4 linked regions of the Saccharomyces cerevisiae S288C genome follow. Changing the gene in region 2 together with the main gene of any one other region gives a genetic interaction. Each region holds a gene or a part of one and is shown on either strand. Other genes may lie near its edges. The genes, in order: YLR012C, SAM2, KGD1 and HVG1.

Evidence for each region.
Region 1: mutations in SAM2 (region 2) and YLR012C together harm fitness more than expected from each alone (negative genetic interaction), as found in Saccharomyces cerevisiae (one large-scale study listed by BioGRID).
Region 3: mutations in SAM2 (region 2) and KGD1 together harm fitness more than expected from each alone (negative genetic interaction), as found in Saccharomyces cerevisiae (one large-scale study listed by BioGRID).
Region 4: mutations in SAM2 (region 2) and HVG1 together harm fitness more than expected from each alone (negative genetic interaction), as found in Saccharomyces cerevisiae (one large-scale study listed by BioGRID).

Annotation. Positions count from the first base shown.
Region 1 is NC_001144.5:168,976-172,265, forward strand, and holds YLR012C (uncharacterized protein), read right to left. Parts: upstream 1,307-3,290; coding exon 1,007-1,306; downstream 1-1,006. Other genes in the region: LOT6 (flavin-dependent quinone reductase), read left to right, coding at 128-703; GAT3 (Gat3p), read left to right, coding at 2,364-2,789.
Region 2 is NC_001136.10:1,452,198-1,456,460, forward strand, and holds SAM2 (methionine adenosyltransferase SAM2), read right to left. Parts: upstream 2,268-4,263; coding exon 1,113-2,267; downstream 1-1,112. Other genes in the region: PLM2 (Plm2p), read left to right, coding at 1-721; phosphatidate phosphatase LPP1, read right to left, coding at 2,845-3,669; SPG3 (Spg3p), read right to left, coding at 4,114-4,263. UniProt on the Saccharomyces cerevisiae protein: Catalyzes the formation of S-adenosylmethionine from methionine and ATP. The reaction comprises two steps that are both catalyzed by the same enzyme: formation of S-adenosylmethionine (AdoMet) and triphosphate, and subsequent hydrolysis of the triphosphate.
Region 3 is NC_001141.2:120,338-126,586, reverse strand, and holds KGD1 (alpha-ketoglutarate dehydrogenase KGD1), read right to left. Parts: upstream 3,899-6,249; coding exon 854-3,898; downstream 1-853. Other genes in the region: AYR1 (acylglycerone-phosphate reductase), read right to left, coding at 1-383; RSC chromatin remodeling complex ATPase subunit STH1, read right to left, coding at 4,516-6,249. UniProt on the Saccharomyces cerevisiae protein: The 2-oxoglutarate dehydrogenase complex catalyzes the overall conversion of 2-oxoglutarate to succinyl-CoA and CO(2).
Region 4 is NC_001137.3:227,956-231,874, forward strand, and holds HVG1 (putative GDP-mannose transporter), read right to left. Parts: upstream 1,251-3,919; coding exon 501-1,250; downstream 1-500. Other genes in the region: Smc5-Smc6 complex subunit KRE29, read right to left, coding at 1-297; FMP49 (Fmp49p), read left to right, coding at 496-876; YER039C-A (uncharacterized protein), read right to left, coding at 1,308-1,526; nitrogen-responsive transcriptional regulator GLN3, read left to right, coding at 1,840-3,919. UniProt on the Saccharomyces cerevisiae protein: Involved in the import of GDP-mannose from the cytoplasm into the Golgi lumen.

The sequences.
Region 1 (3,290 bases), on a different chromosome or scaffold from region 2:
ATCAAAAAAAATCGAAAGATTTGACATGCCTATTGAAAAGGGAAAGTTGTATATCTATCAATTGTTAATTAGTTACTTGGTCATCTCCATTACCAGCTGAGGTGCTTAGTCGACAACCGCATTAAACATGAAAGTGGGTATTATAATGGGTTCTGTGAGGGCAAAGAGGGTATGCCCAGAAATTGCAGCATACGTAAAACGTACAATTGAAAATAGCGAAGAATTAATAGACCAGAAGCTGAAAATACAAGTAGTAGATTTACAACAGATTGCTCTTCCCTTATATGAAGATGATGACGAACTGATCCCTGCGCAAATAAAGAGCGTGGATGAGTATGCAGACAGCAAAACTCGATCGTGGAGTCGCATCGTAAATGCATTAGATATTATTGTATTCGTTACACCTCAATATAATTGGGGGTATCCAGCAGCCTTAAAAAATGCAATTGATCGTCTTTACCATGAATGGCACGGAAAACCTGCCCTGGTGGTAAGCTACGGCGGTCATGGCGGTAGTAAGTGTAATGACCAACTTCAAGAGGTACTACATGGTTTGAAGATGAATGTTATAGGTGGAGTGGCGGTGAAAATACCGGTAGGTACGATACCGTTACCCGAGGACATTGTACCACAACTCAGCGTGCACAATGAAGAGATCCTGCAATTACTCGCATCGTGCATCGAAACAACGAGGAATAAATAAACCATAAAATTTAACTGTAGTCGCAATAAAAGATGAAAAGCTAACACAATTATCATAGGACACTGTAATCCAGACTTTAATTAGTATTAAGTATTGAGTACAAAGTACAAAGTATTATACTAACGGTAGTTTGGGCTCTTCGATTACCCATACACTTTTAATGGACTAATTTCATCAAGTTTCATTCGAAAATTTTCTTAAAATATATATATGCGTAGTGGTATAGTATTCATATTTCATGAACTTATTTCATAAAAAAAGATAAAGCAAACCTAATATTTGGATCGGCGCTCGAAATTATTCTCAGTATTCTTCAGCATTAGACATCTTTAACATATCAATCTTTAAAAGGTTTCTTCTTCTTCTGTAGCTCGGAATATAAGCATTCATATATGACCATGTTGTAACGCGATCGAACCAAGCAACTTCTTCTTGTGCAAATTTCCTAGCAATACCAGGCACACCTCCTTGACGATCAAATGCAATTCTTTCAGTCTCTTGTTCAAAATCTTTTTGACATAAAGCCAGGTATTTTTCCTGTTGTTCAGGTTGCAGTTGAAGATACTGCTGGTAGGTGATTTCTTTGTAATAGACAGTCTTCATTTGAATATGTTCGAGACTTTTTCTCTTAATCTCTATGAATATTTTCTGTCTTGAAGCTGCCGTCTTCATAGAATGTTGTTCTATTATCCACCTCGAACATGGCCTTTTTATACGTTTTTACATTAAACATCCCCTTCATATTAGTTTGTTCTCGACTTAATTCTACTCATGCTTCTGACATTTTTTCATGCCAAGACCGGCCCTGAAAAAGGGTCCGGATATACGGATAGCGCCACACATTCAATTAGGGGAAGTATTATTTGATACATTGTCAGCACACAGCGATTTAACCCATTATTTGGCATGACAAGCAAGCTATTCGACAGTGAAAAATGCACAGAACATTCAAAATTATACTTATAATATGACTCTTTTCTTTTATTGCAGTTGGTATTATATACATATATATATATATATATATATGTATATGTTCCCCGAGACAATGGTTTTATTTCCAAAAAAAGTGTAAGTAAGTTATTTTCTGTGTATAAAAAAATAAAAGAAGCCAGATGAAGTGCCAGGTGGCGTACCAGGACTTCAGCTTTCTTTAGTTTGCATAATGAAAGTATCACTTACAGCTCCCTTGAAGGATTAGACGCTATTAACCCCGATGAAAACGCATCAACAAAACCTTTAACACAGTACTTATTTGGTGCAATACATACTCACACAAACACCTGTAGAAAATCCCCTTATATGAAAATCCCTTTTTTTTCTTGGCAAGTATTTCTGATAAAATGCGGACAACATTACCTGCTTAGCCGCCTGCCACAGAAAATAAGTAGGCTTCTCTGTAAAATGGAATAATAGGCTAGAGGTCAAAAACCTCCTCTTCAGTCATATCTATGTTTTTAAGGGTCTAGGGTCCAATTTGATGGAAAAGAACAAATGGTCGAGCATGTTAATTAATATTTGTTGCTCTGTTTGAAGAGTATATTATAAGACGAGAGGTTCTTTGAGGGAGCTTATCTTACCTTTTCTTGATTTGAAACAATTTCATTAAATGTAAACAATTATCAACTAGAAGCAAATATAAAGCCAGAAGGAAGAATTTGCTATGAACATTAAGACTTTGTGTCATCCAGAATATAAAAGAATCTCCGTTGAATCGTTATTGAATCCGGTAGAGGAGACAATAGACTGCGAAAAACCTCACTCTCAAACAAAAATCAATACTGCTAAACCCATTAGTGCATCTTTGTATGTCACAACGAATAATACTGCTGTTGTTCAGCACAATGTCCAAAAGAGGAAAGGCGTCACCAGGAGATGTCCACAGTGTGCGGTGATAAAAACTTCTCCGCAATGGAGAGAGGGTCCTGATGGAGAGGTGACATTGTGTAATGCCTGTGGATTATTTTATAGAAAAATATTTTTGGTTTTTGGCAAGGATCTGGCAAAACGGTACTTTAACGAAATAAAAGGTGTGAGCGTCAAACGAAAAGTTCCAAAGAGCCTCTATGGAGTTACAAGAACGCGTTAAGAGAATTTATTTCTGCTCGGAATGTTATATACTTATGTCAAAGCAGTGATTATACATTTATCGACTTTAAACAGTTGATAACGAACATTATGTGTTATTCGAAAGTCAAAGTGCCATACAAAACAAGTGGTTTCTCAGTTCTTGCAATTTTTCTTTATCAGCGTAGTCCCAGAAAAAAAAATCATCACTGGAAATGTAAGATGAATTCAAGTATCAAGTGCCGTTGGTATTATAGTTTATCAATTAATACGTAAATATATATATATATATATATATATATATATATGACTATAGTGGCATACTTCTCAATGGACTGTTGCTTCTATCATTTTATACATGCGTTCAACTTTGAAGATTATCACAAAAACCTCAAACTTTTCAATTAATCTGCCCCGGTCATTTAAGTTAGCTCTTTTAGGACTCTCATGTTTTCAAAAAATAGATTGAAAAGAGCATTGGTGGCCCTACTTTCAATCCATTGATCATGATTCTTCGAGCTAT
Region 2 (4,263 bases):
TCGTACAGAACAGATCTCAAAACCATTACTTATTGCATCTCCTGCTCTTGTGAAAAACTCCCCCATTAGTTATAGAACAACACCCCAAACATCTTTCGTTATTAATCAGCCATCAACTCCAAAGAAACTGAAGCGTAAATCAATTTCATTGAAAAATAACACTATACAAGAGACACCACTTCCTAAAGATAAAATAATTGGGACATTAAGTGCCAGTACTAGGAGTGGTGGCATTAATGAAGAAGAATCTTTCGCAGCAGTTGCAAAAAAAACTAAAGAGCTGTCTTCTACAACCGCGATTGTATCTCCTGCACAAAAACGTCTTAAGACTTCATTGAATATTATTCCCGAAATTTCTCGGTCGCTCTCAGAAAGAGGAATTCGGTTTGATGACCTAGTTCATGTGCTATGTAATCATCTTGCATTTTCTAACCTTCAACAAACGCCTTTATCCCAATTGCAAAACATCAATTCCAACACTTCACAATTAAGCAAAGATGAACTAAAAAAGGTCTTGGAGACTATTTCTTGCATTGGTATTATTGTGCGTGAAGGAAAAGATGCGTCTGGCAAGCCATTAGAAGACGAGTATTACTATGATGTTGAAAACGATGATAGCGACGAGAGAAAGATTTTGTATAATTCGTTAAAAGGCAGGAGCCGATTAAGGTCGTGCAGGAAGAAACATAAACAGTATTTCTGGAAGAGGCCGACCAAATAACCTCAAAGACATTCTATATTTCAACCTTATTTCCATAGCATAGTCATATTACCACGTGGAGCATCATGAAAAAAACTGGTAAAACTCGTCAAAAAGTTCTAAAAACATAAAGTAATATTTTCTATATATTTCCGTTGAAGGAGCTAATACATAATCCATACAAAATAGATCATTATGCCTAGATGTTATTCTATTGGTGTTTGTCAAGTTTAAGAATGTTTAAAACTTTTCTATTGTATCATTTTCTAGTAATTACATGACTCGAGTTGAGCGAATCAAACGATAAGGCATCGTCTTCTCAATATAGGGAGGTGATCGGGACCAGCCTAGCATAAAGAAAGGGATTGAAATAATTATAAAAATCAAAATAAAACATTTATTGTCTAAATGTTTAAAATTCCAATTTCTTTGGTTTTTCCCATGAGTACTCTTGATTAGTGAAGTGACCATAAGAAGCGGTTGGTAAGTAAATTGGTCTAGCCAAATCTAATTCCTTTACTAACACACCTGGTCTCAAGTCGAAGTTCTTCTTAATAATTTCAATGATTTCGTCATCTGATTTTGTAGCTGTACCATAGGTGTCCACATGTAAAGACAATGGTTCAGCAATACCAATAGCATATGAAAATTGGACTTGGACTCTCTTACACAAACCAGCGGCAACTAGAGACTTGGCAACCCATCTAGCAGCGTAAGCAGCGGAACGATCGACCTTGGAATAGTCCTTACCGGAGAAGGCACCACCACCGACGGATGAGGCACCACCGTAAGCGTCGACAATAATCTTTCTACCGGTCAAACCAGCGTCACCTTGAGGACCACCGATGACGAATCTACCGGATGGTTGGATGAAATATTTGGTATTTTCGTCTAACATATCCTTTGGTATGACCTTTTCAACAATATCTTTTTGAAGTTGAGTTCTCAAGTCAGCGGTGGAAATTTCATCAGCATGTTGAGCAGAAATAACAACGGTATCTATCCTCTTTGGAACCCATCTACCATTGTCGTCTTCGTATTCGACAGTGACTTGAGTCTTTGTGTCTGGTCTCAACCATGGGAGAGAACCATCTCTTCTAGCATCTGCCATAGCCATGTTCAATTTGTGAGCCAAAAGAATGGTCAATGGTAACCCTTCTGGAGTTTCGTCTGTAGCGTAACCAAACATTATACCTTGGTCACCAGCACCTAAGTCTTCTAAGCTCTTTTCATAGTGCAGACCTTGAGCGATATCTGGAGATTGTTGTTCGATAGCTACTAAAACATTACATGTCTTGTAGTCGAAACCCTTGGCAGAATCGTCATAACCAATCTTCTTGATGGTATCTCTTACTATTTGTTGGTAGTCAAGTCTAGCTTTGGTGGTAATTTCACCGAAAACCATAATCATACCAGTTTTGGCAGCTGTTTCACAGGCAACCTTGGAGAATGGATCTTGTTCTAAACAAGCGTCCAAAATAGCATCAGAAACTTGGTCACAAATCTTGTCTGGGTGACCTTCACCGACGGATTCAGAGGTAAATAAGAAAGTTTTGCTCTTGGACATGATTATGTTTGTATATTGTCGTAAATACTGGATATATTGAAGACAGTTATGTTTTTTAAACCTTTTAAAAAAAGAAAAAAGGGGCAGAAGCAAGATTCTCGAAAATACTTTGTAGAAAGGACAGATATAACCTCCTTCTTATACGCCTCAAGACGACAGATGACTACCAAAAAGAAATCAAGATCTCCTTGCATATGAAGATTTGACGTCGTTTACAAGAGCTATCTCAGAAATTTCATCGGTATTTTGGCTTCGGTTAATATCTGGCGTGGACCCATCGGTGGAAAAACGCCACAGTTTTCAAGCTCAATTATAGTCACGTGGGTAGAAATATTACACTGCACCGCAAGAAAGTACGACCAGATGAATCACATGTGAAGATGTTAACAAGTTTACATACTTTTTGATCAGGTAAGCTATGCATAATGTCTTAGTTTTAGTTATGTAAAGAAATGCAAACTTTTAGTGCATATTTTATCTTATATAATAGAGCAAAGCTCGCCAGTGCTCCAGTTGTTACCTGAGAATGAAGCTTGATCGGCTTTTATTCTTTCCTGATAGGACTCTGTAAGTGTTACTAAACACTAACCGGTGAAGGAAGTATGTCTCTTTTCGCCAAGTTTGTAAATGTCCATTTCCAGCAACAATAAATGACTAAAAATGCTAGAACAGCTCCAGAGACAACATCGTACCAATGATGTCTGTGATCGATAACCCTTGAAACCATTACTACTAGAGCTAATAAAGGGCACCAAATGCAACTTCTTGTATTGCGTGTGGTGAAAACCCTTTGCCAAAGATATGTAAAGCCCATGGTACTGACTATGAAACTTGAATGTCCGCTTGGAGTGCTTTTTAAGCCTTCGTATAGAATCCATTTGTTAGTCTGCTTGCAAATGTCCAAGCCAAAAACCAAAGAATCTGAATCACTCATCTTTTGGAGGTCAGGTATACATCTATCAACAAAGTCAGGCCTCAAGTTTCCTATAATCAACTTTAAGGCGCCTGTTAGGGCAGCATTTATGCTTATAATCAGCATCAGACATAGAATGCTAGTATGCATGAAGTGAAAATCGTTCGAGATTCCGTCCGGCCTCTCTCTTAGTCTCTTTACTCTATTCTTCTTCAGTAAGTCCTTGTCAAACATGCAGGTCCAGAAGACGACCATGTTACTCAGTCCAACACTCAAAATCAAACATTCTAGTGGGCCCACGAGTTCGTTAGGTACATAACGTTTTGATATACTGGGGTCATCAAGACTAAATTCGATGTTTTGGCCCCTAGGTACCAGGGATATCTCCGAATAGAGGAATAATATCGTACATAGACCAATTATCATGTACTGAAAGTAGTATAGCTTAAAATACTCCTTATGTTTCTCATCCGCCATGACAGAGATCATCCTTGGTAGAATATGACGAGTTTCCTTAGGCGTTGATGTAGGAGTTTCTCACTCTTGAAAGCAGTAAAATCACTTCAAAGAATGGCTTTCTTTCTTCCCTTAAAGACTATAAGTTGTCAGGTTTCACGTGGCAACTACAAGAAAAAAAATTCTTACGCGTGAACCAAAACAAAAATTATCAACCAATACATGTCGACAAATAATGAATTAGAGCAATAGCCACGATAACAGACCTTGATTAAATGTAAACTACATATAAGTTTATAAGGGTTGGTTGATTCCATTATTTTTTGTTTTTTATATAAAGCCTATGAAAAATAAATGGAAGCGGCTGTTAGAATATAAAATAGAAGTTGAAACAACAAAAATGTAAGAAAGTTGCCAACAATAAATCTCAAACTTGAAAGTGTGGATCGAGGAATATGGACAATCTTTAAAAAATTTTTAGTCCCGTAGTTTTTCGAATTTTTCCTTACCAGTGACCATGAAACCATGATTGGGAGACGTATAAGTAATTTTTATCAAAGTTAAACAGAATAATGAACATTTTCTTCTATTTCTCCCTGTGAAGTTTTCATATAGAAAAAAACATAA
Region 3 (6,249 bases), on a different chromosome or scaffold from region 2:
AATTCACGGCACATGTTGATATGACCAAACACATTGACCTTAAAGCATTGTTCTACTGCAGCATCTGTTGCATCCAATGCAGGGAATGTACAACTCTGACCGGCATTGTTGTACAATAAATCTAATTTACCATCAGGTAAATTAGCTCGCAAAAAACCAGAAAATGTTACAATTTCTTCTGGCTTGGAAATATCCAACTTATATGGTTTGATACTATCGTTACCAAATTGGATGGCCAATTGTGCCATTGGTTCTAGTCTTCTTGCACATGCATAAACCAAATAGCCATTTCTGGCTAATTCCTTCGTTACCTCATATCCAATACCACCTGAGGCGCCTGTAACAACGGCAATCTTTTTAGGTTGTGACTGTAACTCCGACATACTCTTTGAAATCCTGATCAATATTTGAATTGAGTATATATTAATAGAAGTTGGGCATGATGAATAAAACTTATTCACTCTATTTACCTACCCCCTTCCCCCTTTCCATTGACTTATTTTTCACTTTTTTTCTCCACCGGATGAGGACAAGAGAAGCACCTAGCTGTGAATACACCAGAGGAGGAAGTAGGGGGAAAAAAACGATATCAATATAAAGTAAAGAATGATTCTTGAATAAATAGTAAATACAACTAATAAAAAAAGGTTCACATAAATAAAACGTTAAATTAAATAATTTTAAAAAGACTAAGCAGATGCTAACATCATGAACAAAAAAAAAATGTGAATGTATCAAAAAAAATATTTGTTAGATCATTCTTCAAGTAAAAAGGCTGTCCATAAACATTAAGGTAAAAATATTACGTGTTTATATGGCTGTATTTTCATGTTTTTCATATTTGAATTCATCTTTAGGATTGTTGGAAAACATCTTTCAAAAAGGCATCTTCTTCGGCCAAATGTAGTGATTTGCTACCGGCAGCAACAGCACCACTTGGGTTTCTACCACAGTATCTGACCTTGAAATCCTTATATTTATCCGTTTCTTTTAATGTTGTGTGTAAGCGTGGTTCTGTGTATGCCCACGAACCCATGTTCAATGGCTCTTCCTGGCACCAAACAATTTCTTCCAAGTTTGGATAAGAATTTAATGAATCACGTAGCTGAGCAAATGGGAATGGGTGCAGCTGTTCAATCTTTAAGAAAGCAGTGGTCTTATCACCCAAACTTTCACGTCTTTTATGTAGGGCAGTGTACACTTGGCCACTCAGCAAAACTAATCTCTTGGTTTCCTCTTTCGTACCAATACTTTTTCCATGTTCAATATCTTCGATAATCCATTGGAATCCGCCTTCAGTGAATTCGGAAAGAGATGATCTGGCCAATGGGTGACGCAGCAGCTGTTTAGAAAAGAATAACGCCAATGGTTTACGGAATTGACGATGTTGCTGTCTCCTTAGAATGTGGAATAAATTAGCAGGCGTAGTTGGATAAACAACCTGGAAATTACAATCCTGATGTTGTCTCTGTAGCTTTTCTTCAGATGGGAAATATCTTGGGTCTTCATTGGCTAGTTGCAAGAATCTTTCCAATCTACCAGACGAATGTTCTGGCCCCTGGCCATCATAACCATGGGGTAAAGACAAAACTAAACCAGAGCGTTGCTTCCATTTTTGTTCACCACCGGCAATAAATTGGTCAATAATAACCTGTGCTGTATTTGCAAAGTCACCGAATTGAGCCTCCCACATGACTAGATAATCTGGGGAGGTTAGCGAATAACCATATTCGAAACCCATTACACCGTACTCAGATAACGAGGAATTTGCAATGGTGAAGTCTGCCTTTTCATTATTCAGAGTGCTTAGCGGTGTGTAAATGGCTTCAGATTGTTGGTCATGCAAGACTGCATGACGTTGAGAAAATGTACCTCTTTCTACATCTTCACCGGAAACCCTAACGTTCTGACCATCCAAAACCAATGTACCGAACGCTAATGCTTCACCGGTGGCCCAATCGATGCCTTCACCTGTCTCAATAGATTTTCCTCTATTTTTCAAAATTCTCTTTAGATTTTTGTGCACTTCAAAACCTTCTGGCCACGAAGAGAGTACCTTACCTAGTTCTTTCAAAGTACTCTCTGGAACATTAGTTGGTTCATGTGGTAATATCTCAGTGGCCAATTCCTTTGGGGATTTGAATCCTTCCCAGGCAGCAGTTAACCATTCTCTTTGAGATGGGACGTAATCCTTTGCCTTTTCGAAAGCATCTTCAAATAAGTTCCATACCCATTTCTTGTGCTCATCAATATCTTTTTTAGAAAATGTGCCTTCACTTATCAATTTTTCCGTATAGACGTCAATGACAGATTTTTGTTTTGCAATTTTTTTGTACATTAATGGTTGAGTAAACGATGGCTGATCGGTTTCATTATGTCCATGTTTTCTCCAACCAACGACATCAATTATGGCATCTGTGTGGAACTTATGTCTCCATTCTGCGGCTAAATTGAAAATAAAGGTCACAGCTTCCACGTCATTAGCGTTAACATGGAAAATTGGGGCATCAATGGCCTTAGCCAAATCGGAAGGATATGGTGTGGACCTTGCAAATCTTGGATCCGTAGTGAATCCGATCTGGTTGTTTGTAATAACATGAATAGTACCACCAGTAGAGTATTCTGGTAGGGTCAAGAAACCCATGGTTTCATAAACAACACCCTGCCCAGCAAAAGCAGCATCACCATGTAATAACACACCTAAGGCCTTTGTTTTTTCCTTCAAATCGTTCTTGGCATGCAATAAAGCTCTAGTTCTACCAAGAACAACTGGATCTTGGGATTCTAAATGAGAAGGATTTGCCACCAGCGATAAATTGACGTACTTACCAGACGTAGTTGGTCTTTGGTAGTTCATACCCAAATGGTACTTGACATCACCCGATCCTTCAATATCATCGCGAGCGCTCGAACCCTTAAATTCAGAAAAAATAGATTCATTTGGTTTACGGACCACATTGGATAAAACGTTCAATCTACCACGGTGAGCCATACCCAAAACAATATCTTCTACACCCAATTCAACAGAACGATCAACCAAAGTTTTAATACCTGGAACAACACTTTCCAAACCTTCTAAACCGAACCTCTTATCATTTGGAAATTTTGTAGATAAGAATGACTCAAAAGAAGTGGCCCATGTTAATCTATCTAAGATTTGTCTCTTTTGGTCCACTGTATATTGGTAAGGTTCAGGAATCTCAATTCTCTCTCTTAACCAATCACACTTTTGCTTAGATGGAATATGTGTGTATTGTACCCCATAAGAGGAACAATATAACTTTTCTAGATGATCCACAATCTCTTTCAGAGACATTTTAGATTTCCCGTCCCTTGCAAACCTTGGCAGGATACCAGGTCCTAGGTTGATTTCTTTATCAAGATCGTGTTTGCTAAAGCCGTAGTAGTCTAGAGTCAATTCCGGAGGAACAGGGTTATTTTTATTACTACCAAATGAGATCCCTAAAGGATCTATATGGGCTTTTAAATGACCTCTAACTTGGTAAGCTCTACATAGCAATTGCACTTTTAGATGAATGGAGACGTTCTCATCTACTGAACCAGTCATTGCGGTCCCTAAGGGAGCTGCTTCGGTACCCTGGGGAAAGTTACTGATACTGGGAGGAGCCTGAAAAGCCTTTGTAGCTGGAATCTTTGGGTTAGACATATTCTTGAAATATGCGTCCCATGAAACATGGACTGAAGATGGGTCTTTTTGCCAAGCTTGGTACATTTCATCGATATAGGTGGCATTTGATGTCGATAGAAAATTATCTGTACCAGTGGTGGCTAACCCTCTTCCGACAATTTTGACAGTAGATGCATTTTTAAGTAAAGATGTTTTTAATAGTCCTCTTGAACTATACCGGCAGGTTTGCGAAGACACGAACCTTAGCATAACGGTAAAATTTAGTATTTTCTAAAAACTGCTTTCTTTCTCTTTTGTTGTTTCTTTCAAACGAAACTTTAATTTGGGGAAATTAGGAAGAAGTATGATGCTGAACGAGAATCGCTTCCTTCTCTCTTCCTATCTATATTCAGCTGCTGCGACTATGTGACAGAAACAAAATTGAGGGCGAAAAACAAACAAGATATGATCTTATTAAATAACACACGGGTTTGTTAAAGTATAAATAGTACACACCCAATGAATCTAAACCGTTATCGTAAATCGGACTTACATGTAGGTCTTGACTCCCGCAGTCCCTTTGCCAATCATTTATGTGTAATGCCTCTTTCTTATTTGCAGAGGCCCCTTCCTTAGCCCCGGAATCGCAAACGGTCGAAGCTAACTGGTCCATCGCCGCCGGGTAATTATTTTGCGGCACTAATAAGCCCAGAGAATAAGCCAAAGGATATTAGTTACTCAAAGAATTATATTCGCTCTGTCGATCTTATTGTTACAGTGGTATATATTTTATAAACATATGTAGAGGTAGAAAAAAAGGCTAGAAAGAGTATTAGAGGGGAAAGGGATATAGTCGTAAAAAAAAAAAACATGTGGTGATGAAAACGTTACGAAGAGTGTTCCTTGAACCATTCATCAGTAAACTCATTTAACTTGTCAGCATCAACGTAAACCCAGGATCCCTCTTCATTATAGAATCTAGCATTTTCAAACATCGTTTGTAAGGCTTGCCTTACCTCCTCCAAAGTTTTGTAAGTGCCATTCTTGCAGTTTTTCAATATAATATCAATGGCCATGGGTTTTTCAATTACTTTAAAATAGTCCGGATAGTCGCGTTTCGAAGGAAGCTTTTCAAAAATGGACGTCCTTGGATGGGAGTCTACCTCATCTAACTGTTCGCGCATTTCTTCCACCAATTTTTCCACCGTGGGAAAAATCCCAAGCGACTTGGATTTAGTTTTAGTTTTTTTGGCTGCAGTCTTCTTCGCGGGCGATTTACTCTCTGGCTTTTCTTCTGCTCGCTTACCATCATTATTCTCCAACACAGTTGTTTTGTTTAGTTTGATCTTGACGGTCAGTTTCGGTTTCTTTTTCTTGGATTCTGAACCATTTATAATTTCAACGGAGCTACTTTTTACTTCCTCTTCCACCTTAGCGCCCCCGTTTTCTTGAGATGTACTCTCTTCTTGAGTATTCTCTTTGTCTTCTGCCGTAACAATGCTAATGGTCCTTTTCTTTCTACTACTCCGGCGTTTTGACCTGGAAGCTGTAGTCTCTTTATCAGCATTAGTTTCCTCATCCACAGCTGCAGTGAAGCTATTGTTCTCAATCAATGAAGTTTCGGATGCTTCAGGCGTGTTTTCCAGGGTTTCTATTTCATTCTCTTTTGTACCATTTTGACGTAATCTCCTTCTTTCACGTGCTTCACGTCTTTTTTTAATGGCATCTTCTAAAGACATATTATCATCTTCTACAGCCTCCAAAAATTGTTCTTCAGTTAGACCGTCATCATAGTAAACTCTTTTCTTTTGTCTAATCCTTCCCAATGGTTCAGAATCCTCTTTCTTGAAATGTTCTTCAATGTCTTCTCTGAATACTTTGGGTAGCTCGTCTAATTGAATCAATCTAGGAGGAGGGACTCTCAGGCCTTGCGCTTTAGCATCTGCTCTTTCTTGGTTCATTCTCTCCTTATCAATTTTATCAAATAGTATTTTTTCATCAGCGCTTCTGGCCAAAGTATCGTTTAACTCATCGTCATCTAATTCTGCTTTGTCATCATCATCCCTGTTCGTTTCACTTTCGATCAATCTTCTCAAAAAAGCTTCTTGCTCTTCTGCAGTTGATTTGTTATCAAACTTACCTGCCTGGATAACCTTGCCGTCAATGTCCAATTTCTGCATAGCTCTTTCCAAAATAACTTCCTCTACGGAATCAGTGGTAATTAATCTTAAAATTCTAACCTCATTCTTTTGTCCAATTCTGTGAGCTCTATCTTGGGCCTGTAAATCTTGGTGTGGATTCCAATCTGTATCAAAGATGATCACCGTATCTGCAGTTTGTAAATTCAAACCCAAACCACCGGCTCTAGTTGACAAAAGGAAACAGAAATAATCTGAATCTGGAGCATTAAATGCATTCAGCATTTCTGTTCTTTCTTCAGTCTTAGTGCTACCATCTAATCTCATATACTTCAAATCTTTCATTCTTAGGAAGTCTTCCATAATATCCATAACTTGAGTCATTTGGAAAAACATTAGCACTCTGTGGCCTGAGGCTTTGAATTTCGGTAGCACTCTATCCAGTAATTCAAACTTGCCCGCTACTCTGAAAAGTAAATCACT
Region 4 (3,919 bases), on a different chromosome or scaffold from region 2:
TGCCTTTCTTTTGGAAATGATGGTTCTTTTTAAGATTGGATCAAAATCGTCTCCAGACTCCGCCTTGGCACCAGAAAGATTCAAATCGCTGTTCTCTAGGCTAGAAAACTCTTCGTCGCTATTCAAACTGTCGTTCTCAGGATCACTAATAAAGTTGGGATGCACCTTCTCATCGTCATCGTCATCGCGAAAGTAACTTCCCACACTAGTCGGTATCAAAGGAGAATCAAACCCTGAAATTTGTGAATCTGGCACAGTTTCAAACTCTTCATTCGGTGATGAGTTCACGCTTCCCATTTGTGACACTGCCCTTTTGTGCGTCTAACAAAATTTTATCACTTTATTGCTATTTACTTGAAAAATTATATATGAATATATTTCATAAAACGATGCTGACATAATATGTAACATAAAAAAAGGAATAACCTAAAACAAATACAAAGAAGACCCCATATAAATGAATATAAATGTATATTTTGCTTGAGCAAATGAAGAATGTACTACTTCTCAAGAGTAGCTGCTAGAACTTTTTGCTGTTGTATCTTTTTCTGTTTAGCCACAGCGTACAGCAGGCCAGACAGAAATCCTAGAAAGATAGAAAAGAAGGACAAAAAGTTTTTTGGAGCGTCAAAGAACACCAATCCCGCCAACGCTATGGGCAATTTGTTCAAAGCACCAACCATAGAATACGTTGTAGAGGAAGTTACACGAACACACCAGCCGGAACAGTACGATATCCCCACGGACATGAGCCCACTGATGACCATTGCTGCCAGTGAGTCGGCGGACAAGTTCACAGACAAATTCTTTGTGGACCAATCTTCCATAATGAAGGAAAAGACTAGCAGCAAAGGCAATGCCAGAACGTTGTTATAAAACATAGTATCATAGTCTTTAAAGTTAGTCAGCCGAATTCTCTTCCGCATAATCAAAACGAACAATGCAGACGAAATACAATTGGTGAACATCCAGAGGTACCCCGGATTCAACACAAAGATGGTTGACTCAACAAGTTCCTGATCGAGATCCTCCAAAGATGATGCTTTGATTGCAATGGCCTGCTGATCGCCCCAGGTGGCCACTACAGATGAAAGGACCATCATAATAAATGACGTCAACTCCATAGAAGTGACTTTTCCGCCAAAGAAGAGGACCTCGCCATAAGCAATGAGAATGATCGTCAGATTCTTGAAAATTGTGTAGATGGGCACGGCAAGGTATTGTAAGCTCTTTGACGACGTATAAATCATCAATACGAGCAGCAAAGAAATTGGAAACCAGTTTTTTACATCTGTCCTGTTCAAAGATCAAAAATTAGCAACGCCTACAATTCGTAGGATACATAGCGTCACAGTGCACACCAGTGATTGTACAAACAACATCACAAAGTTCATGTTAAAGTTGTCCAGGTTAACCACGAATTTGTTCGTTACTGTCATCAAAATCGAGGACGCGCAGTAAGATAAGATTGAAGCCGGCCCAGAGTTGGCCACTGATTCCGTCCATTCATGCTTATGCTTGCTCATAATTACCACACCTTCTTGATCTCTTTACAGCTTTTCAACCTTCCATTCTTGTACTCTATCTCTACCTGGCCCTTTAAACATTCTTAATATGATATATTCACATTTTTTGCTCTATTACCCGGCGGACAGGTTCCCGAAAGAAAGTGACATGGCAATGCTGAGAGAGTGGAAAGAGTCATCTTGCAAGACAGAGAAAGATGTTCAAGAGTGGTAAGCTAATGTCAGCGCAGTAGCCCATCCCACAATAACAGAGTGTGTAAGAAAGAGAGACGAGAGAGAGCACAGGGCCCCCTTTTCCCCCACCAACAAACAAATGCAAGACGACCCCGAAAATTCGAAGCTGTACGACCTGCTGAATAGTCATCTGGACGTGCATGGTCGAAGTAATGAAGAGCCGAGACAAACTGGTGACAGTAGGAGCCAGAGTAGTGGCAACACCGGTGAAAACGAGGAGGATATAGCATTTGCCAGTGGATTAAACGGCGGCACATTCGACTCAATGCTGGAGGCACTGCCCGATGATTTATATTTTACGGACTTCGTGTCTCCTTTTACAGCAGCTGCCACGACCAGCGTGACTACTAAGACGGTCAAGGACACCACACCAGCTACCAATCATATGGATGATGATATTGCGATGTTTGATTCACTTGCCACAACTCAGCCCATCGACATAGCCGCATCCAACCAACAAAATGGTGAAATTGCACAACTTTGGGACTTTAACGTGGACCAATTCAACATGACGCCCAGCAACTCGAGCGGTTCAGCTACTATTAGTGCTCCTAACAGCTTTACTTCCGACATACCGCAATACAACCACGGTTCCCTCGGCAACAGCGTCTCCAAATCCTCACTGTTCCCGTATAATTCCAGCACGTCCAACAGCAACATCAACCAGCCATCTATCAATAACAACTCAAATACTAATGCGCAGTCCCACCATTCCTTCAACATCTACAAACTACAAAACAACAACTCATCTTCATCCGCTATGAACATTACCAATAATAATAATAGCAACAATAGTAATATCCAGCATCCTTTTCTGAAGAAGAGCGATTCGATAGGATTATCTTCATCCAACACAACAAATTCTGTAAGAAAAAACTCACTTATCAAGCCAATGTCGTCCACGTCCCTGGCCAATTTCAAAAGAGCTGCCTCAGTATCTTCCAGTATATCCAATATGGAACCATCAGGACAAAATAAAAAACCTCTGATACAATGTTTCAATTGTAAAACTTTCAAGACACCGCTTTGGAGGAGAAGCCCAGAGGGGAATACTCTTTGCAATGCCTGCGGTCTTTTCCAGAAATTACATGGTACCATGAGGCCATTATCCTTAAAATCGGACGTTATCAAAAAGAGGATTTCAAAGAAGAGAGCCAAACAAACGGACCCAAACATTGCACAAAATACTCCAAGTGCACCTGCAACTGCCTCAACTTCAGTAACCACTACAAATGCTAAACCCATACGATCGAGGAAAAAATCACTACAACAAAACTCTTTATCTAGAGTGATACCTGAAGAAATCATTAGAGACAACATCGGTAATACTAATAATATCCTTAATGTAAATAGGGGAGGCTATAACTTCAACTCAGTCCCCTCCCCGGTCCTCATGAACAGCCAATCGTATAATAGTAGTAACGCAAATTTTAATGGAGCAAGCAATGCAAATTTGAATTCTAATAACTTAATGCGTCACAATTCGAACACTGTTACTCCTAATTTTAGAAGGTCTTCAAGACGAAGTAGTACTTCATCGAACACCTCAAGTTCCAGTAAATCTTCATCCAGATCTGTTGTTCCGATATTACCAAAACCTTCACCTAATAGCGCTAATTCACAGCAGTTCAACATGAACATGAACCTAATGAACACAACAAATAATGTAAGTGCAGGAAATAGTGTCGCATCCTCACCAAGAATTATATCGTCCGCAAACTTTAACTCAAATAGTCCTCTACAGCAGAATCTATTATCAAATTCTTTCCAACGTCAAGGAATGAATATACCAAGAAGAAAGATGTCGCGCAATGCATCGTACTCCTCATCGTTTATGGCTGCGTCTTTGCAACAACTGCACGAACAGCAACAAGTGGACGTGAATTCCAACACAAACACGAATTCGAATAGACAGAATTGGAATTCAAGCAATAGCGTTTCAACAAATTCAAGATCATCAAATTTTGTCTCTCAAAAGCCAAATTTTGATATTTTTAATACTCCTGTAGATTCACCGAGTGTCTCAAGACCTTCTTCAAGAAAATCACATACCTCATTGTTATCACAACAATTGCAGAACTCGGAGTCGAATTCGTTTATCTCAAATCACAAATTTAACAATAGATTATCAAGTGACTCTACTTCACCTATAAAATATG